4 linked regions of the Saccharomyces cerevisiae S288C genome follow. The main gene of each other region encodes a partner of the protein of the gene in region 4 in a complex. Each region holds a gene or a part of one and is shown on either strand. Other genes may lie near its edges. A codon is read from its position in the direction of its gene.

What was found.
Region 1: the proteins of SNF2 (region 4) and SWI3 are in contact, whole or in part, in a cryo-EM structure (PDB 7EGM), measured with the Saccharomyces cerevisiae proteins. Residues at the interface, in NP_014933.3 of Saccharomyces cerevisiae: Pro485 (codon at 3,384), Val486 (codon at 3,387), Gly487 (codon at 3,390), Ile488 (codon at 3,393), Asp489 (codon at 3,396), Thr490 (codon at 3,399), His491 (codon at 3,402), Ala493 (codon at 3,408), Thr494 (codon at 3,411), Tyr497 (codon at 3,420), Thr499 (codon at 3,426), Ile501 (codon at 3,432), Ala502 (codon at 3,435), Leu503 (codon at 3,438), Asn504 (codon at 3,441), Leu505 (codon at 3,444), Asp506 (codon at 3,447), Thr507 (codon at 3,450), Thr508 (codon at 3,453), Asn510 (codon at 3,459), Asp511 (codon at 3,462), Lys515 (codon at 3,474), Glu527 (codon at 3,510), Asn528 (codon at 3,513), Tyr531 (codon at 3,522), Asp532 (codon at 3,525), Tyr534 (codon at 3,531), Ala535 (codon at 3,534), Leu536 (codon at 3,537), Gln537 (codon at 3,540); in NP_012359.1 of Saccharomyces cerevisiae: Gly421 (codon at 2,902), Leu422 (codon at 2,905), Phe423 (codon at 2,908), Pro424 (codon at 2,911), Phe425 (codon at 2,914), Glu426 (codon at 2,917), Pro430 (codon at 2,929), Ser431 (codon at 2,932), Val432 (codon at 2,935), Gln433 (codon at 2,938), Leu434 (codon at 2,941), Pro435 (codon at 2,944), Asp436 (codon at 2,947), Met437 (codon at 2,950), Leu440 (codon at 2,959), Lys441 (codon at 2,962), Met444 (codon at 2,971), Leu514 (codon at 3,181), Lys516 (codon at 3,187), Val517 (codon at 3,190), Lys518 (codon at 3,193), Ile519 (codon at 3,196), Leu520 (codon at 3,199), Lys529 (codon at 3,226), Gln533 (codon at 3,238), Leu536 (codon at 3,247), Lys537 (codon at 3,250), Ile539 (codon at 3,256), Gln540 (codon at 3,259), Gly543 (codon at 3,268).
Region 2: the proteins of SNF2 (region 4) and ARP9 are in contact, whole or in part, in a crystal structure (PDB 4I6M), measured with the Saccharomyces cerevisiae proteins. Residues at the interface, in NP_014933.3 of Saccharomyces cerevisiae: Lys622 (codon at 3,795), Lys623 (codon at 3,798), Lys625 (codon at 3,804), Arg626 (codon at 3,807), Leu627 (codon at 3,810), Phe629 (codon at 3,816), Gly630 (codon at 3,819), His631 (codon at 3,822), Arg632 (codon at 3,825), Leu633 (codon at 3,828), Ile634 (codon at 3,831), Thr636 (codon at 3,837), His637 (codon at 3,840), Leu640 (codon at 3,849), Glu641 (codon at 3,852), Glu644 (codon at 3,861), Arg647 (codon at 3,870); in NP_013747.1 of Saccharomyces cerevisiae: Glu28 (codon at 1,782), Thr29 (codon at 1,785), Phe30 (codon at 1,788), Tyr151 (codon at 2,151), Ser152 (codon at 2,154), Ile154 (codon at 2,160), Ser155 (codon at 2,163), Gln157 (codon at 2,169), Asp176 (codon at 2,226), Tyr177 (codon at 2,229), Ala178 (codon at 2,232), Tyr415 (codon at 2,943), Phe416 (codon at 2,946), Pro417 (codon at 2,949), Ile434 (codon at 3,000), Val435 (codon at 3,003), Gln438 (codon at 3,012), Ile439 (codon at 3,015), His442 (codon at 3,024), Thr446 (codon at 3,036), Phe447 (codon at 3,039), Trp463 (codon at 3,087), Asp464 (codon at 3,090), Gln466 (codon at 3,096), Phe467 (codon at 3,099).
Region 3: the proteins of SNF2 (region 4) and SNF6 are in contact, whole or in part, in a cryo-EM structure (PDB 6UXV), measured with the Saccharomyces cerevisiae proteins. Residues at the interface, in NP_014933.3 of Saccharomyces cerevisiae: Thr467 (codon at 3,330), Leu468 (codon at 3,333), Leu469 (codon at 3,336), Ala470 (codon at 3,339), Asn471 (codon at 3,342), Ser472 (codon at 3,345), His474 (codon at 3,351), Lys476 (codon at 3,357), Phe477 (codon at 3,360), His564 (codon at 3,621), Asn566 (codon at 3,627), Leu568 (codon at 3,633), Ser569 (codon at 3,636), Lys570 (codon at 3,639), Ile571 (codon at 3,642), Arg572 (codon at 3,645), Asn575 (codon at 3,654), Gln577 (codon at 3,660), Asp578 (codon at 3,663); in NP_011838.1 of Saccharomyces cerevisiae: Arg84 (codon at 2,167), Leu85 (codon at 2,170), Pro87 (codon at 2,176), Glu88 (codon at 2,179), Gln89 (codon at 2,182), Leu90 (codon at 2,185), Ser91 (codon at 2,188), Asn92 (codon at 2,191), Ile93 (codon at 2,194), Ile94 (codon at 2,197), His95 (codon at 2,200), Asp96 (codon at 2,203), Phe103 (codon at 2,224), Asp116 (codon at 2,263), Thr124 (codon at 2,287), Cys128 (codon at 2,299), Asp129 (codon at 2,302), Ile131 (codon at 2,308).

What each region holds. Positions count from the first base shown.
Region 1 is NC_001142.9:91,532-96,171, reverse strand, and holds SWI3 (Swi3p), read left to right. Parts: upstream 1-1,641; coding exon 1,642-4,119; downstream 4,120-4,640. Other genes in the region: RFA3 (Rfa3p), read left to right, coding at 1-11; KRE9 (Kre9p), read right to left, coding at 250-1,080; 60S ribosomal protein uL22 RPL17B, read right to left, coding at 4,515-4,640. UniProt on the Saccharomyces cerevisiae protein: Involved in transcriptional activation. Component of the SWI/SNF complex, an ATP-dependent chromatin-remodeling complex, which is required for the positive and negative regulation of gene expression of a large number of genes.
Region 2 is NC_001145.3:336,174-339,827, forward strand, and holds ARP9 (Arp9p), read left to right. Parts: upstream 1-1,614; coding exon 1,615-1,644; intron 1,645-1,730; coding exon 1,731-3,104; downstream 3,105-3,654. Other genes in the region: formin-binding protein HOF1, read left to right, coding at 1-1,134; YMR030W-A (uncharacterized protein), read left to right, coding at 1,140-1,430; RCH1 (Rch1p), read right to left, coding at 3,245-3,654.
Region 3 is NC_001140.6:52,934-56,352, forward strand, and holds SNF6 (Snf6p), read left to right. Parts: upstream 1-1,917; coding exon 1,918-2,916; downstream 2,917-3,419. Other genes in the region: alkaline-responsive transcriptional regulator RIM101, read left to right, coding at 1-55; YHL026C (uncharacterized protein), read right to left, coding at 286-1,233. UniProt on the Saccharomyces cerevisiae protein: Involved in transcriptional activation. Component of the SWI/SNF complex, an ATP-dependent chromatin remodeling complex, which is required for the positive and negative regulation of gene expression of a large number of genes.
Region 4 is NC_001147.6:854,647-862,189, reverse strand, and holds SNF2 (SWI/SNF catalytic subunit SNF2), read left to right. Parts: upstream 1-1,931; coding exon 1,932-7,043; downstream 7,044-7,543. Other genes in the region: YPK9 (putative acid anhydride hydrolase), read right to left, coding at 1-1,015. UniProt on the Saccharomyces cerevisiae protein: Involved in transcriptional activation. Catalytic component of the SWI/SNF complex, an ATP-dependent chromatin-remodeling complex, which is required for the positive and negative regulation of gene expression of a large number of genes.

The sequences.
Region 1 (4,640 bases), on a different chromosome or scaffold from region 4:
AAATATACTAGCTAAAATCGCTTTTATTCTTACCTTTATGTACTGTTGCCTCTATATGTCTTCCCTTCATATAATAAATTCCATTTCTAAAAAAATTGTAGTTGTGTTTATAGATGTATAGATAGATAAATGAATGTGTACTTGCTGCCTTAACGCCTTCCGCTAAAAACTTTTTGATATTTATTTTATTTTTAACCTTTCCTGACTTCAACCCTTACTGTAATGATGATAGTAGAAGCCGTCTATTTTTCATACTTTTCTCATGTTGATTTTCCTTGCAGACAAAGACAATCTCTTGGATGGTTTGTACCAACCACCATTATCTGAAGGCATAGATGCAGGAGTAGCGTAGTTTACTCCCGATGATATCGTATAAGACCAGCCAGGAGTTATCGTAGTTGCTTGCTCTGGCAATGACCCAAAGGTAGAGTAATATGTCACAGCACTAGTGGCAAATTTCCTTGTCCATGTGGTAGCGGTCACTTTAGTATTTGGCTGCATTTGCATTGGAGCGAAACGCGACGTACCAGTCTGCTTGGTGTACGGAACAGTAAATGAACGACTGTCAATAGTAGTGGCTTGGGCGTTGTTTGTAGTGGTTGTTTGAATAGAAGTCTGGGGAGTAGGTTCAGTTGTGGCACTATATGTATAAGCCGTAACACCGCCCATGGAAGTCAACTGGAATCTTGGTGTATAATGGATAGTGTAACCTTGACCGTCCACCTGGGCAAAAACTTGAATGTAATATTGACCGTTCCCAGTTAAGGTCGAAGCAAACTCAGCTGTGTAAGAGTAAACTTTATCATCTTGTGTTAGCTCACTTGGAGTAATTTTACTGGCAAGTACGGCCACACAGTCAATGTTGTTATTAGGACCAGTACAAAGACTGAACGTGAAAGTTGAAATCTTGCTTAACGAGGGATATGCCCCATTATCCATCCATTCAACGGGAACAGAGACAGTACCACCACTTGGACTGAATGTTGCCTTGGAGCTGGGGGAAACAATATTCACATCTCCCAGCACAAATGAGACTAAAAACACCAAAGCACATATGATGGAATTTCTTTGTAAACGCATTATCTATAATATGTCACAGTTGCTGATTCTCTGAGAAGGAAGTAAAAAGCGAAAGAGTAGATTCCTAGTAATCAAAACAAAGTGTGAACTGCCACTTTTAGCGCTTCTTGGAACTATCAAACTGGAGCAAATCTGGCTTCAAGAATGCTTTGAGACTCCTGTTCTATTCCTGTATTATCCTTGAAGATCTTTTTCGAGGAAAAAAAAAAAGAAATGTAAATAAAACACCTAATCGTCAAAAGTGATATTATATTGAACCGCCGTGGTTACGATGGAATAATGGTCAATACGCAGTTTAGATGGCATCCAACAATTCAGGATGGCCAATGATGTTATTTTAGTTTGAATTGATTACTTTTGAGCTAGTTTAAATTCGATTTAAGAGCCATTAAGTAGGCATCACGAATAACGAGGCCGGACGTTTGGCGTTTAGGCCATTGGCGAAAAGACGAAAACAAACTATATCAGATACGCAAGAGGAATGTGTAAAGGCCATGCAAGGCGCGATATATTGGTACATCGAGGCGCGTTCAGAGACCAATTGTGATACGGTTTGCAAGCATGGAGAATACACTGGGTGAGGGGTCCACGGTAAACGCTTCCGTGGACGTGGACCAACATGGCAATGACAACAATAGTGATAGCAACGCTAATGCAGCTGTGGCAGGGGTTGCCAATACAGATACTGCTGGTGAAGAATCGCAGCAACAAGATGAGTCTCTGAAGGATGAAGCAACTGTTCCGAACACACGCGATGCAGAAAGTGAGGCGATAACGGTAACGGCAAAGCAGCAGCCGACTATGCAAGCGAATAAGCTAGATTCCCAGGAAACACCTTCTACAGAAGAAAGCAGGGCCCAGAACGTCTTTGGCCAAGATAATGAGGATAGTGATAATCTCTTTGGCGAAACCGAGAGTTCTGTTTCGAACAATGAGGCAAACACTCCTAGTATACCTACGAACCCGGTAGACAATGAAAACAATAAGCCTGCTATTAAGGAAGACAGCACAATACAGGATTCAAATGGTGACGTTAAAAACATGGAGGACGTCAAAATACAAAAAGAGGAAGAACCAGAGAATAACACTGTTATTGAAGGTGTCAAAGAAGAAAGTCAGCCAGATGAGAACACAAAGGAAATGGATGAAGTGGAAGAAGATGATGAGGATGACGATCAACCGATGATTAGTCCTGATAATTCCATTTTTGGAGACACAAAGAGTGAGTCTAAACAACTAGGCAACACTTCGTCGGTTGCTAATACTCCATCTGAAATTCCAGATGCGCATAAAGCTGAACAGGAGGATATCATAGAAAAGACGGAAAGTGTAGATAAGAAGGTAGATAGTGGCGAAGAGAGAAACGAACAGGAACGTGAAATCATGAACGATCACTCCAAAAGTGCCAATCCAAAGAAAACCACTATCACCAGAGTAGAACCCGAAACTTTTGAGATACCGCAAGCACATGAAATTGTTATTCCAAGTTATTCTAAATGGTTCAATCTAGAAAAAATTCATTCCATTGAAGTTCAATCGTTACCTGAATTTTTCACCAATAGGATTCCATCAAAGACACCTGAAGTTTACATGAGATACAGAAACTTCATGGTAAATTCTTACAGGCTGAACCCCAACGAATATTTCAGTGTCACTACGGCGAGGAGAAACGTCTCTGGTGATGCTGCTGCATTATTCAGATTGCATAAATTCTTAACAAAATGGGGGCTAATAAACTATCAGGTTGACTCCAAACTATTACCTAAGAACATCGAACCCCCACTAACGTCTCAATATTCCACAAGGCATGATGCCCCCAGAGGACTATTCCCATTCGAAAGTTACAAACCATCTGTACAACTGCCGGATATGGCAAAGCTTAAAAAAATGATGAACACTAGTGATTCGGAGAGTACTTTATATAAATATTTGAAAGAAAGCAAAAGAAAATATGATGAAATAACTCACCCCCCCAGTACCACTGATGATGAAAATGGTGACAAAAATGATAATGGTGGTAAAATGAACAATGAAGTAAGTACGTCAACAAGCATGACTGGTGATGCCAATCTATTGGAAGAAGGCGAAACTTCACGTCCTCTGAAAAAAGTCAAAATTCTAGAACAAATTGATGAAAATTGGTCAAAAGAAGATTTGCAAAAGCTATTAAAGGGAATACAAGAATTCGGCGCTGACTGGTACAAAGTGGCCAAAAACGTTGGCAATAAGTCGCCTGAACAGTGTATCTTACGTTTCCTTCAATTGCCCATTGAAGATAAATTTTTATACGGTGACGGCAATGGCAAGGGTGATAATGACAACGGGTTAGGACCTTTGAAATATGCTCCTCACTTGCCATTTTCGAAGAGCGAAAACCCCGTTTTATCAACAATAGCATTCTTGGTGGGTTTGGTCAATCCGAAGACTGTACAGTCGATGACCCAGAGAGCCATTCAGTCCGCAGAATCAATAAAATCACAAAAAGAGGAAATCTCTGACCAAAAGCCAATTGAACATATTAAAGAAGGTTCAGAAATTGCCATATCATCATTGGGTTATAGGAGTCATATTTTCGCTACCAACGAGGAAAGGCAAATGAATTTTTTGACTAACGAGCTAATAAGACTTCAAATGGAAAAATTGGACGCTAAATTAAATCATTTAAAGAAACTAGAAAAATTTATGGAGCTAGAAAGGAAAACCCTAGAAAGACAACAGGAAAACTTACTAATTCAGAGATTGAACTTCAACCAAAACTCCAGCAAGATTGTAAACGTTTTAAGCAAATGCTTGAATTTAATATCCGACAGCAATATCAATAATAGTTCAGTGGCGGAGAAGGAGGAAATCAGGTCGCAGATAGACCATTTCAAAAGTATGCTATCGAAACCTGAAACTTTAAGTATTGGAAAGAATCCATTTAACAAACCTAATATTGAAACAGGTGAAAACCATAATGGCCAAAGTATATCTAACGAGAATGATGTCAAACCCATTTCTATTGAAGCACCTCAATTTTACAGGTATTGGTCGGCATAACAATGACACATGGAGATCATTTTTGTTTTTGTTGTAATTATTCTTCATTAGTAACACTTTCTATTTTGTTTCGCTCTATATTTTTGCTTATTTTCTTTCTTCTAGGTTCATTTCTTTAATGGTGCGTCACTTGACTTGGCTTCTCTCTGATTTTTATCCCATTTCTCTAGATTCGACTAGACATGTTATGTACATGTAGATATATATCTATAATTGTGTTATTTTCTATTTTTTCTATTTTTTTTATTTAAAAGAGCCTTTATCAAAAGTTATTTTTCTTGTTCTGTGTTGTTCTTAGTTTGATTTTGATTCTGTGTATTGGCCTAAACAAATTAGTATATAGTAGTATATAAATCAAATATTCACTTTAAAAGATTTTAAAATTAAAAAAGCATTTAAGCAGAGATACGTTTTTGGGCAGCAATTCTACCTCTTTGTCTAGAAGTCAATCTGACAACCTTCTTTTCAGCAGCCTTGGCGACAGCTTCTTCCTTTTCGGTAACAACCAATTCAATGTGAGA
Region 2 (3,654 bases), on a different chromosome or scaffold from region 4:
AGCAGTATCTCCACGACAAGTAAAAAAACCGAATCGTATATGGACAATATAAGGAAACTATCTTCTCAGCTGAAGGAAACCGAAAATAAAAGGAAACTAGCTTCAATAGACAAATATGAGAAACCATTGCCATCTCCAGAAGTCACCATGGCTACACAATTTAGAAATTCCACACCCGTCATACGTAATGAGACAAAAGTGGTTGCTAACCCAACATTATCTTTGAGGTCTTCACCCGTCCAGTTACAGAGCAATGTGGATGACTCCGTGTTAAGGCAGAAACCTGATAAACCAAGGCCGATTGTTGGGGAAGAACAACTTAAACCTGATGAAGATTCGAAAAATCCTGATGAAAAAGGTCTAATGGTGCATAAAAGAAATCAATCTCTCAGCTCACCATCAGAATCAAGTTCTTCTAATCCAACGGATTTTAGCCACATCAAAAAGAGACAAAGTATGGAATCTATGACTACATCCGTAAGTTCAATGGCCAATAGTATAGACGACTCACAGAGATTTGCCAAATCATGGAACTCGTCAAATAGGAAAAGAAAATCTATGAGCCATTTGCAAGTACCCTCATCCGCTTCTTCGAGGTCGGATGATGGGGGAAGAACGCCTAACTCTGCGCACAACCTCAATGAAGATGATTATAACACGAGGAGAGATACCAGTACAAGCACAATTTTGTTCAAACCTCCTGTGGCAGTAAGAGGAACGTCTAGGGGGCACACGCATAGACAATCCATGATAATGCAAGATTCAAGTAATCCAATTGAAGATGCCTTGTACGAAATGGAAAGAATCCAAAGTAGTTCTAAACCAGGTACAAAAACAGGAAACATCATGGATGAGAGAGGTGTGGTCAGGGATAGAGGTATTACTGTTACCTTGCCTATTGTCACCAGTGAAGGTTTTCCAGTCATTGAATATGCCAAGGCCATGTATCCATTGATTGGAAATGAGGCACCTGGATTAGCGAATTTCCATAAGGGCGACTATCTGCTAATTACTGAGATTGTTAATAAAGATTGGTATAAAGGTGAAGTTTATGATAATGACCGTATAGATAGAAATCATAGGATAGGATTAATTCCCTATAATTTCATTCAGCTACTGCATCAAGGTCTTTGATCTCGATGTATATCAATTTTACTAGTTTTCTGATAAAAGAAAAAAAGTATAATGTCAGATTTTTGTTAAGTAGAAATAGAAAGATATACGCTGCCGTGGGAGAAGGACACCTCTCCGGATTTGTAACTAAAAATCATAAAATATCACGTCTTTCCTTCATATTTTCAAAAAAAAAAAAAGTTTTCTTTACCATTTTTGACACAATAATCACGATAATTGTTAGGTCAGGCATTCCCTTTCCACTTTTATGTTCATTTGGACGCAATAAGATATACATATTATTTAATGTGCTCTAATGACAGTTCTACTGTGTTTATATCATTAGAGTCACTTGTTACGAATACTACATATTTCCGCGCAGTGGCTAAAAGCAAATTTCAACATTATAAATCTCTAATAGTAAACTGACAATATTGCGGAATTAGAAAAAATGTACCACGCGAAGTTAAGTGTCTTGAACAACTACTATATGCATTGAATATGGCTCCATTTAGGCAGGACAGTATTTTGGTACGTATTTAGTTCATCAATGGATTTTTTAAGTCTTCACGAACAGTTTTTGGTTAATCTTTTATACTAACAACAATTCATAACAGATAATATACCCCAGATCTCAAACTACTCTCGTTCAATTTGGTTTGAATGAAGAAACATTCACTGTACCTGAGCTGGAAATACCAACACAGATTTATCGGACCACGAGACAAGATGGTTCCTACACATATCATTCAACGAACAAGGATAATAAAGCCGAATTAATCAAACCAATCCAAAATGGTGAAATAATAGACATAAGCGCCTTTACACAATTTCTTAGACTAATATTTGTATCTATTTTGTCTGATAGAGCTAATAAAAATCAAGATGCTTTTGAAGCTGAATTATCTAATATTCCTCTTCTACTGATTACGCACCACTCTTGGTCGCAATCGGATCTAGAGATTATTACTCAATATGTCTTCGAAAGTCTTGAGATAAACAATCTAATCCAATTGCCGGCTTCCTTAGCGGCCACTTATTCTATGATTTCGTTGCAGAATTGTTGTATTATTGATGTTGGAACACATCATACAGATATTATTCCTATTGTTGACTATGCACAATTAGACCATCTTGTCTCTTCAATACCAATGGGCGGACAGTCTATTAATGATTCTCTAAAAAAACTACTACCTCAATGGGACGATGATCAGATAGAATCATTGAAAAAATCACCAATTTTTGAGGTGCTCAGTGACGACGCCAAAAAACTATCAAGTTTCGATTTTGGAAACGAAAATGAGGACGAGGATGAAGGAACTTTAAACGTTGCCGAGATTATTACAAGTGGTCGTGATACACGTGAAGTTTTAGAGGAAAGAGAACGTGGTCAAAAAGTCAAAAATGTTAAAAATAGCGACTTGGAATTCAATACTTTTTGGGATGAAAAAGGTAACGAAATTAAAGTTGGTAAGCAAAGATTCCAAGGATGTAATAACCTGATTAAGAATATTTCTAATCGTGTAGGATTGACGTTAGATAACATAGATGATATTAACAAAGCTAAAGCCGTTTGGGAAAATATTATCATCGTCGGTGGCACTACTTCAATTTCAGGTTTTAAAGAAGCTTTACTGGGTCAACTACTGAAAGACCATTTAATTATAGAGCCAGAGGAAGAGAAGTCAAAAAGAGAAGAGGAAGCGAAATCCGTATTACCAGCTGCAACAAAAAAGAAAAGCAAGTTTATGACAAATAGCACCGCATTTGTTCCAACTATAGAATACGTACAGTGTCCTACAGTAATCAAACTGGCTAAATATCCAGATTACTTTCCTGAGTGGAAGAAAAGTGGATATTCAGAGATTATATTCTTGGGTGCCCAAATTGTTTCTAAGCAAATTTTCACTCATCCTAAAGATACATTTTATATCACAAGAGAAAAGTATAATATGAAAGGACCGGCTGCTCTTTGGGACGTGCAATTTTAAGAATACGTGATAGATGCTTCGTGTATCCAAAATCCGTGTGAATATGTGCTGTTTAGTTTTTTCCATCCAATGAGGATGGGAAATATATACATAAACGTTATGTAATATATAGAATTCATGCAAAATTAACAAGGGAAATATCACCTTGGTTGTGTATATGGGACGTTGTTCGACAGAACGGATTGATTTTCACCAGTTCCAATTGATATGATCTTTTCCAAATCAACTTCCTCATTCTCATTTGCACAAGATGACTCGCTTCCGTCTGCTTGAGCGTCCTTTTGTATCCATCTTTTGAACAAGCTTACAAAGAAATTTGCCGTCATGACTTGCTCAACTTGATATAAAACCAAGGGAACCAACAACTTACCCAGGTGTTCTTTTTTATCGCCGTATTGTGAAGTAATTAGTGATACACCCAGTGCTGCAGTTTTAGCCGGGCCACAAAACATAATGCAAATCGCATCTTCCTTTGAATAATAAAAAGGCCTAAAGATATTATACGAATAGCGGTACAATCTTGTAGATTTGCCCTCTATTGGTTCATGAG
Region 3 (3,419 bases), on a different chromosome or scaffold from region 4:
AATGGGAACTAACTCAGTTCGCATCTTGACCAAGTATCCCAAAATTTTGGTATGATATGGATTGTCGGATATTTTATTCTTAGTTGTTTCTTTGCGGCTGTATAGTAAATGAATAAATCACACATGCCCTAGCGCGGCGTCGCGGATTAAACAAGGTAACAATGGTTAAAGGAAAAATTATTTGTTAAGGTGGGTATATTATAGATTGCTAATTGTAAAGTATTAATAGTTTATTAAGTATTAAACTAGAGTTCGCACATGCTTTTATTTTTTTGTTGCTTTTCTTCACGCTACCGCTTCTTGAGACTGTTGTTTGGTAGTACTGATATCTTGATCGGTTGATCCCGAGCTGCGATTACCCGTGGAGCAAACTTCTTGATCCTGCTGTAGCGTACCGTTTGCTAAGCCTTCATAGTAAAGTTCCTCGTGAAACTGGTTTCTCAACACAATGACGATGATGGCCACTGGAGTGCATACAAAGGCAATTACAACGGCATAAATCAACTTCATGACCTGCGGTAGTGGATAATCGTTGAAGTAGTAGTCGTGGGACCCGACCTTATGGCCTATACCAGCAAGGATACCCATAGTGACTGGCCAAATGACAATGAACATGGCAATGGCTAGGATCATAGATCTGATGAATTTCTGCACAAACCATTCTATAAAGTTCATGAATTTGGACTGAGTAGAATCATGAATGAACTGAGATGTGAGAAAACCTTTCAACGTAGCTTCTTTACCTTTGGGAATGATTCCTCTATTGACCTCTAAATAGCCAAAGAGCCAATTATGCTTATGATACAGAGTGTTCTGCTTCGCAACGACGTTGTCTTTGGATTCGAAGTAATCCACAATGAAACGCTTTTTAGGGGGTGGTATTTCTTCGTTAGATTCGGTTTTCAGTGGTGACGGTTTCGTAATCCATTTATTCAATCTGAAAACAGGCCTCTTGTAGTCATCGAATCCAACTAAAATTTCCTCGCTAGCCCATGTAAGACCCACCTGGATGAATAAACTTAGTGCACAATCGCCTGAAATGGTGTGAGGAAATGCCCATAAGGTGATAAGATCTACACGGGAATGGTACATGGCATATGCGATGGCAAACTCGATGCCGCCCGAGATTATTGCAGAACCTAGCGCTTGGATGACGAAAAGGTAGAAGATGATGAACCAGATGGAATTTCTGAACCCGGTCGGGGTCGCTGGCGCTGGCTCTGAGGATTTCATATATGTGAAGAGCGTCTATTTTCAAGGGTGTTGATGCATATATATCCGTATATATGTGTGCCGGTGGAAGGTTATAACATCTTGAAGAAAGAAAGAGGAGAAATTGGTTTTAGATCAAGGACAGATAAACTATATCTTTCAAAAGCCGATGCAAATCGTATACAGCAAATATCAATGAAGGAATGCGATGGAGGTGATGCTAGTGTGGACTGCACTATTTTTTTTTCCTGTTTTTTTCCACTTTTGTGTAGGAAGAGTATTGAATCAGGAAAGCGGGAAAAACCGCAAAGAAAAAAGTAAACTTATCCGTGAAAATCAATTACATTACCGAAAATGGCAAGATCCAAACAAGAAAAGTAAGTAAACGAATGCGAATACTGGAACAAGCAGGGCATAAAGAGGCACATGCGTCGTTTGTAGCCGACGTGCTTCATTTATCAGGTTAGTTGGCAGCGGCTGGACCATACAGGTTCTCACAATGTGTTGGTCTACGTTCGGTCATGCACCACGGTTGTTCCGTCAAACGGTCAGAAAACACACGCGGAAAATCCAAAGGAAAAGATGGGAGAGAAAAAACATGAAGTTGAGAAGCAACGAAACAAGGTTTGATCCAGAAAGGGGAGGCTAAAGGCGAAAAAGGCGAAAGAAAAGCGTTTAAGAGAATTTTACAAACGTAGTAAAATAATGGGTGTCATCAAGAAGAAAAGATCGCACCATGGAAAGGCTTCGCGCCAACAATACTACTCTGGGGTACAGGTTGGGGGAGTAGGCAGCATGGGCGCCATAAACAATAACATCCCGTCGTTGACGAGCTTCGCGGAGGAAAACAACTATCAGTACGGATACAGCGGCTCCAGTGCCGGCATGAATGGCAGATCGCTTACGTACGCGCAGCAACAGCTTAATAAGCAAAGACAGGACTTCGAACGTGTACGACTTAGACCAGAACAGCTCAGCAATATCATACATGACGAGAGCGACACGATATCGTTCCGATCCAACCTTTTGAAGAACTTTATAAGCTCGAACGACGCATTTAACATGCTGAGTTTGACCACGGTACCGTGCGACAGAATTGAGAAGTCCAGATTGTTCAGTGAAAAAACAATAAGATATCTCATGCAAAAACAACACGAAATGAAAACACAAGCGGCAGAGTTGCAAGAAAAGCCTCTGACGCCACTTAAATACACAAAACTTATAGCTGCGGCAGAGGACGGAAGCCGTAGCACAAAGGATATGATAGATGCTGTCTTCGAGCAAGATAGTCATTTGAGGTACCAGCCGGACGGCGTGGTCGTACATCGTGACGATCCTGCGCTGGTGGGTAAACTCCGCGGAGATCTCCGCGAAGCGCCGGCGGACTACTGGACGCATGCTTATAGGGATGTTTTGGCGCAATACCACGAGGCCAAGGAGCGTATCAGGCAGAAGGAAGTAACTGCAGGTGAAGCACAGGACGAAGCCAGCTTGCAGCAGCAACAGCAGCAAGATTTGCAGCAACAGCAACAAGTAGTGACTACAGTTGCCTCGCAAAGTCCTCATGCAACTGCAACGGAAAAGGAGCCAGTACCCGCCGTGGTTGACGACCCACTGGAGAACATGTTCGGAGATTATTCCAATGAGCCGTTCAACACCAATTTCGACGATGAATTTGGAGATCTTGATGCTGTATTTTTTTAATAGCCATGGGCGGCTACTTCTTGGAAATATATACTTTCCTTTTACATATTTAGTATAGTTATACATGTGGATGTGTATGGAGGTAAGATCAGATAGACCCTTCACTGTTTTCTGTGTATTCCTTGTGACATAGTGGATTTGTGCAGCTACTGCTTATAGGAAGCAGTGCCTGCAAAACAATTCATTCGTTGGTTGATGTGGCGCGCTGACTGAATGTGTAGGGTCTGTTGTTACCCCCTTGCTCCGGGGGCCCACATCTCTCTGACGCGAAGAAAGGCTCGAGATGTGCCAGTCGTAAACACCGCCTCATTTCCCTTGCATTCTCCTCCAGTGAAAAAGCAGTACGACCTATCTCCGAAAAAAAAAAACCTCCTGTGCGTTTACTGTGGATCATGCAACACGATTTCTGTAGATTAAAGACGTTTTTGGCATGGACTAAGCTAAATTCCGTTTGATTAGCCGCCCATAACGGGTGGCAAACAACACGATGAAACTCTATATCC
Region 4 (7,543 bases):
AAAGATAAACTAATCCGAAAGTCAAGAAGCAGCACAGGTTGTAAATAATATACCAGAATTTTGAGGTCTGGTAAGCAGCGATACCAATAACTAAATCCTCTTCCGCAATGTAAAACCTTTGGTAATGCAAGTTTGGTGCATACTGTGGATAAAACTTTTCATGATAGTCAGGTTTTAGATATTCGCTATGCTGATTATGAACATCATCATGACCAGAAAAGCTTCCTCTATTATTTTCGCTTGCAGATCGCCTACTATCTGAAGATTCTAAAGAATGTGTAGAAGACTCGTCTTCTAGTATTTCATCTGTTTGACTTTCTAGTTCAATAGGAATTCTTTCTCTGGTCGTATATCTCGATAAACTGGATGATGAATGTGTAGCGGAATGATAAACGAACCCAGTGTCAGAATTTTCTCCCAGCCTTTGTGGTGCCCTTGAACCAGAGCGACCCCTCTTACTGAAAGATCCATAAGACTTTGCATTTGAGAGAGATGATGCTCTGGAAAAACTTCGAATAGAAGAACGCCTGGAAGATAGGCCCGTACCATAGATTCTATCTTGTTCATAAGCGGGGGTGGCATCCCAGGCCATGTCATAATCTGTATTTTCTAACGTGGAAGCGCCTTCAGCATTGGATATTTGCTCCTGAGTGAAAAATCGAAAATGAGAAGGGTTTCTAGAAGAGCTTCGAGACTGTTCAGCCGAGGATAATACTAAAGGCTCTGATTCAGTCAATCGGCGGCCTCTCTGCTCTAGGTTCCCTGAAGAATGCGGACTTGGGAGGTTGCTTGATTGAAAAGAATGAGGGTGATGGAATGATACAATAGAACTTGGCACGGCTTCGAATGTTGCACCTGCGTACGGTTCCGAATTGTTCTGATCCAGTACCATCGCGGAAGTCAATGTGGCCGCCGTAGAAGTAGTGGCTGTAGAAGAAAAAGAAGCCCTCGGCATTCTTCGGTTCCTTTCACTCCTTTGGCCATGTTGAATTTGGTTTGAAGAGGGAATATCCATTACCGGAGTATATGCAAGATCTATCAGTAAGTCTGGGCTCCTTTTTATTTTAAAGAAGAATCTATTGACTCTGAACTATTTTCAATCAAAAATAAATTCACAAGTCCAACACCTCCAACTCTATGGTATTGCGTTCTCTTTTTGCCCTTTTTTCCTTTTTTTCTTTTTTTCACTACTCTTTCCTTGATTTCCATTTTTTTTCATTTTTCACTCTTCTATCACCTCTTCATACCCATACCCCCTGTTGGCCGCGGCTGCCCTAAATACACACATATATATATATAAAACAAACAAGGCATTTTTCAAATTAATAAAACTAATAAAAAAAGCTATAGAGCCTTTTCTTAGAACACAGTGTTGAAATATTCGCTTTTTTCTTTTTATTGAAACTCCTTCACTTCCAAAAAGACACGATTCTTAATGGCTATTCTGAGTGAACATAAGGACACTAAGAACTAACAAGTAATTGAAAAAAAAAGAAGAAGACATGATGAAGAAGAATTAGTGAGCAAAATACAGTTGAAGTTCCTAACGCTTATTTTCCTTGCAGATTAATTCCAATACATTCGCCACTATTGGAATTTTGCAGGTAGCCAATTTTCGCGTATATATACTAGGTTTAGGAAAAATAGCCGCCGGTAAAAATAGTGATAGGCTGTTACCCGAATACCGTTGTTCGCGATATGTTAAAACCGCGTTTGAAAGACAAATATCAACAAATTGATTGACGAAACGGGGCCATCCTGAGGCGGTAGGACAATAAGTTAAAAGAAAGGTTACCTCTAGTCTCAATAAAGAAGATATTTGTGACGTACGTGGACCTTTTGTATATAAATCATCGGGAAGGTCAGCTATTCTGTTGTTTCTCTAATCGCGACTTTCTGCTATTTTCACGACTTTCGATTAATTATCTGCCATGAACATACCACAGCGTCAATTTAGCAACGAAGAGGTCAACCGCTGCTATTTAAGATGGCAGCATTTGAGAAATGAACACGGAATGAACGCTCCGAGTGTGCCGGAATTTATCTATTTGACTAAAGTGTTGCAATTTGCTGCCAAGCAGCGACAAGAATTACAAATGCAACGCCAACAGCAAGGCATTTCAGGTTCTCAGCAAAATATTGTTCCAAATTCTTCAGATCAAGCAGAACTGCCGAATAATGCTTCCTCGCACATTTCTGCTTCTGCTTCCCCGCATTTAGCTCCGAATATGCAATTGAATGGAAATGAGACCTTTAGCACTTCTGCTCATCAATCACCAATCATGCAAACACAGATGCCATTAAATAGCAATGGTGGTAATAACATGCTACCACAACGGCAATCTTCGGTTGGTTCATTAAATGCAACTAATTTTTCACCAACACCAGCAAACAATGGAGAAAATGCTGCGGAGAAACCAGATAACTCAAACCATAATAACTTAAACCTTAATAATTCCGAGCTTCAACCGCAAAATCGATCATTACAAGAACACAACATACAGGATTCAAATGTGATGCCAGGTTCGCAGATAAATTCTCCTATGCCCCAGCAGGCGCAGATGCAGCAGGCACAATTCCAAGCACAACAGGCGCAACAAGCGCAACAGGCACAACAGGCACAACAAGCACAAGCGAGACTGCAACAGGGGAGAAGATTACCCATGACAATGTTTACTGCCGAGCAATCCGAACTGTTAAAGGCCCAAATCACATCTCTAAAATGTCTAGTAAATAGAAAGCCTATTCCGTTTGAATTTCAGGCTGTTATCCAAAAATCTATTAACCATCCTCCAGATTTCAAAAGAATGTTACTGTCTTTGAGTGAGTTTGCGAGAAGAAGACAACCCACAGATCAAAATAACCAATCAAATCTCAATGGCGGCAACAATACGCAGCAACCCGGCACCAATTCCCACTACAATAACACTAACACTGACAACGTTTCTGGGCTTACCAGAAATGCACCTTTAGATAGCAAAGACGAAAATTTTGCATCTGTTTCACCAGCTGGTCCATCTAGTGTACATAATGCGAAGAATGGCACCCTCGATAAAAATTCGCAAACTGTAAGTGGCACTCCAATCACGCAAACAGAATCGAAAAAAGAGGAAAACGAAACCATTTCAAACGTAGCTAAAACAGCTCCTAATAGTAATAAGACCCACACCGAGCAAAATAACCCGCCAAAACCGCAGAAACCCGTTCCTTTAAACGTCCTTCAAGATCAATATAAGGAAGGAATAAAAGTGGTAGATATAGATGATCCTGATATGATGGTTGATTCTTTTACGATGCCCAATATCTCACATAGTAATATCGATTATCAGACTTTATTGGCCAATTCGGATCATGCAAAGTTTACTATTGAACCTGGCGTTCTACCGGTTGGTATTGACACACATACCGCTACTGACATTTACCAAACTTTAATTGCATTGAACCTAGATACTACGGTAAATGACTGTTTGGATAAGCTACTAAATGACGAATGTACGGAATCAACCAGGGAAAATGCTCTTTACGATTACTACGCCTTACAATTATTACCGTTACAAAAAGCCGTAAGAGGTCATGTATTACAATTTGAATGGCATCAAAATTCTTTATTAACCAATACACATCCAAATTTTCTTTCGAAAATAAGAAACATCAACGTTCAAGATGCATTGCTAACAAACCAACTTTATAAGAATCATGAATTACTTAAGTTAGAAAGGAAGAAGACTGAGGCAGTGGCCAGATTAAAGTCGATGAATAAATCCGCCATCAATCAATATAATAGAAGACAAGATAAAAAGAATAAAAGGTTGAAGTTTGGCCATAGACTCATTGCTACGCATACTAATTTAGAAAGGGATGAGCAAAAGAGAGCTGAAAAAAAGGCAAAAGAACGTTTACAGGCTTTAAAGGCGAACGATGAGGAAGCCTATATAAAATTATTAGACCAAACCAAAGATACAAGAATTACACATCTTCTAAGGCAAACAAACGCATTTTTAGATTCTTTAACAAGAGCCGTGAAAGATCAACAAAAGTACACTAAAGAAATGATTGATTCCCACATAAAGGAAGCATCGGAGGAAGTGGATGATTTGTCCATGGTCCCCAAGATGAAGGATGAAGAATATGATGACGACGACGACAATTCTAACGTCGATTATTACAATGTCGCACATAGAATTAAAGAAGATATCAAGAAGCAGCCTTCAATATTGGTTGGTGGTACCTTAAAGGACTATCAAATCAAGGGTTTACAGTGGATGGTTTCGCTTTTCAATAATCATTTAAATGGTATTTTAGCAGACGAAATGGGTCTTGGTAAGACTATCCAGACGATATCCTTACTTACATATTTATATGAAATGAAGAATATTCGTGGGCCATATTTAGTCATTGTTCCTTTATCTACACTGTCAAATTGGAGCAGTGAATTCGCGAAATGGGCTCCTACCTTAAGAACTATATCATTTAAAGGTTCGCCAAATGAGAGGAAAGCCAAACAGGCTAAAATAAGGGCAGGTGAATTTGATGTAGTTCTGACTACCTTTGAGTATATTATTAAAGAAAGAGCACTTTTATCCAAGGTCAAGTGGGTCCATATGATTATTGATGAAGGCCATAGAATGAAAAATGCGCAATCCAAGCTTTCTTTAACCTTGAACACACATTACCATGCAGATTATAGATTAATTTTGACAGGTACACCACTTCAAAACAACTTGCCAGAATTATGGGCCTTATTGAATTTTGTGTTACCCAAGATTTTCAATTCCGTGAAATCTTTTGATGAATGGTTCAATACACCCTTTGCCAACACCGGTGGGCAAGATAAAATTGAGTTGAGTGAAGAAGAGACGCTTTTGGTTATCAGGAGATTGCATAAAGTCTTGAGACCCTTTTTATTGCGTCGTTTGAAAAAGGATGTAGAAAAAGAATTACCGGATAAAGTTGAGAAGGTAGTGAAGTGCAAAATGAGCGCTTTACAACAAATTATGTACCAACAAATGTTGAAATATCGTCGTCTTTTTATCGGTGATCAAAATAATAAGAAAATGGTAGGTTTAAGAGGTTTCAATAATCAAATCATGCAACTAAAGAAAATCTGTAATCATCCTTTTGTATTTGAAGAAGTTGAGGACCAAATCAATCCAACAAGAGAAACGAATGATGATATTTGGCGTGTTGCTGGTAAATTTGAACTATTAGATAGAATTTTGCCTAAGCTTAAGGCAACTGGGCATAGAGTATTAATTTTTTTTCAAATGACCCAAATTATGGATATTATGGAAGATTTTTTAAGGTACATTAATATCAAGTACCTGAGGTTAGATGGTCATACAAAATCTGATGAACGTAGTGAGTTGTTACGTCTATTTAACGCCCCTGATTCTGAATACTTGTGCTTTATCTTATCAACTAGAGCGGGTGGTTTGGGTTTAAATTTACAAACTGCAGACACTGTCATTATTTTTGATACTGACTGGAATCCTCATCAAGATTTGCAAGCTCAGGATAGAGCGCATAGAATAGGTCAGAAGAATGAAGTTAGAATTCTAAGATTGATTACTACGAATTCAGTTGAAGAAGTTATCCTAGAGAGAGCCTACAAGAAGCTAGATATCGATGGTAAAGTCATTCAAGCAGGTAAATTCGATAACAAATCTACATCGGAGGAACAAGAAGCGTTGCTTAGATCTTTGCTGGATGCAGAAGAGGAACGTAGAAAGAAAAGAGAGTCTGGTGTTGAAGAAGAAGAGGAGTTAAAAGACTCAGAAATCAACGAAATTCTTGCTCGAAATGACGAAGAAATGGCTGTTCTTACAAGGATGGATGAAGATAGATCAAAGAAGGAGGAAGAATTGGGAGTAAAGAGCCGTCTCTTAGAAAAGAGTGAATTACCTGATATTTACAGTAGAGATATTGGTGCCGAGCTCAAACGTGAAGAATCAGAATCTGCTGCTGTTTACAATGGAAGGGGTGCAAGAGAACGTAAGACGGCAACTTACAACGATAATATGTCTGAAGAACAGTGGTTAAGACAATTTGAAGTTAGCGATGATGAAAAAAATGACAAGCAGGCAAGAAAACAACGAACAAAGAAGGAAGATAAGAGCGAGGCGATTGATGGGAATGGAGAAATTAAAGGCGAAAACATTGACGCTGATAATGACGGTCCTAGAATTAATAATATATCGGCCGAAGATCGGGCAGATACGGATTTGGCAATGAATGACGATGATTTCTTGTCTAAAAAGAGAAAGGCAGGAAGGCCCCGTGGAAGACCTAAGAAAGTGAAACTTGAAGGATCTGAAAATTCTGAACCACCAGCGCTTGAATCAAGTCCAGTTACTGGCGATAACTCTCCCAGTGAGGATTTTATGGACATTCCAAAACCACGTACAGCGGGAAAAACATCTGTTAAATCAGCAAGAACTTCAACAAGGGGCCGTGGTCGCGGTCGTGGTCGTGGTCGAGGGCGAGGACGTGGACGAGGAAGGCCGCCAAAAGCAAGAAATGGGCTTGATTATGTCCGCACGCCCGCTGCGGCAACGAGTCCTATTGATATTAGAGAGAAAGTTGCTAAACAAGCTCTAGACTTATACCACTTTGCTCTCAATTATGAAAATGAAGCTGGAAGGAAACTTTCTGACATTTTCCTCTCCAAACCTTCCAAAGCACTATATCCCGACTACTATATGATTATTAAGTACCCTGTCGCCTTTGATAATATTAACACGCATATTGAAACGCTAGCTTACAACTCCCTTAAAGAGACCCTTCAAGACTTTCATCTGATATTTTCCAATGCTAGGATATACAATACTGAGGGTTCAGTAGTATACGAAGACTCTTTAGAACTGGAAAAAGTGGTTACGAAGAAATACTGTGAGATAATGGGCGATAACTCACAACTCGACTTTACTGAATTTGATGAACAGTATGGCACCAGACCCCTCGTCTTGCCTCCTGTTGTTACTTCAAGCGTGGCTGAATCTTTCACAGATGAAGCGGACTCGAGCATGACAGAAGCGAGTGTATAGTACCTTCCTAAAGCAATATAAGTACTTATTCGTTTATACGTAGACAAACATTAATCCCTCTTTTTTTTATTGTACCCATTAACCGAGTTGGGATGTTTAATATCTCTAGTATAACGTGCCGTATATTTCCTATATATATATATATATATATTTATATATATTAGATTTTAAGTTAATTGTTCAACTAATTGATCGATTTCGCCTCTTATAATTCTGCTATACATATTTATTTTAAACCATCTCTTTGAACAAAGTAATATGTCGTCATCATAGTGAACTTGTTCTTGGACCTAATTATAAATTTTCCAATACGGAACAAATTATTTGTTCCAACACCCTGCTAGCAACACAGGGCAATATATATAAAGAAGATATATCTACTACTTCTTTTCCTTGAGTATATGTCTTTAATAGATATTTCATGTATTTGATTCATCTTTAATGGAAATACTCGGAGATTATATACAGGTCCGAGATGGCCTTAAAGATATTTCCCACAA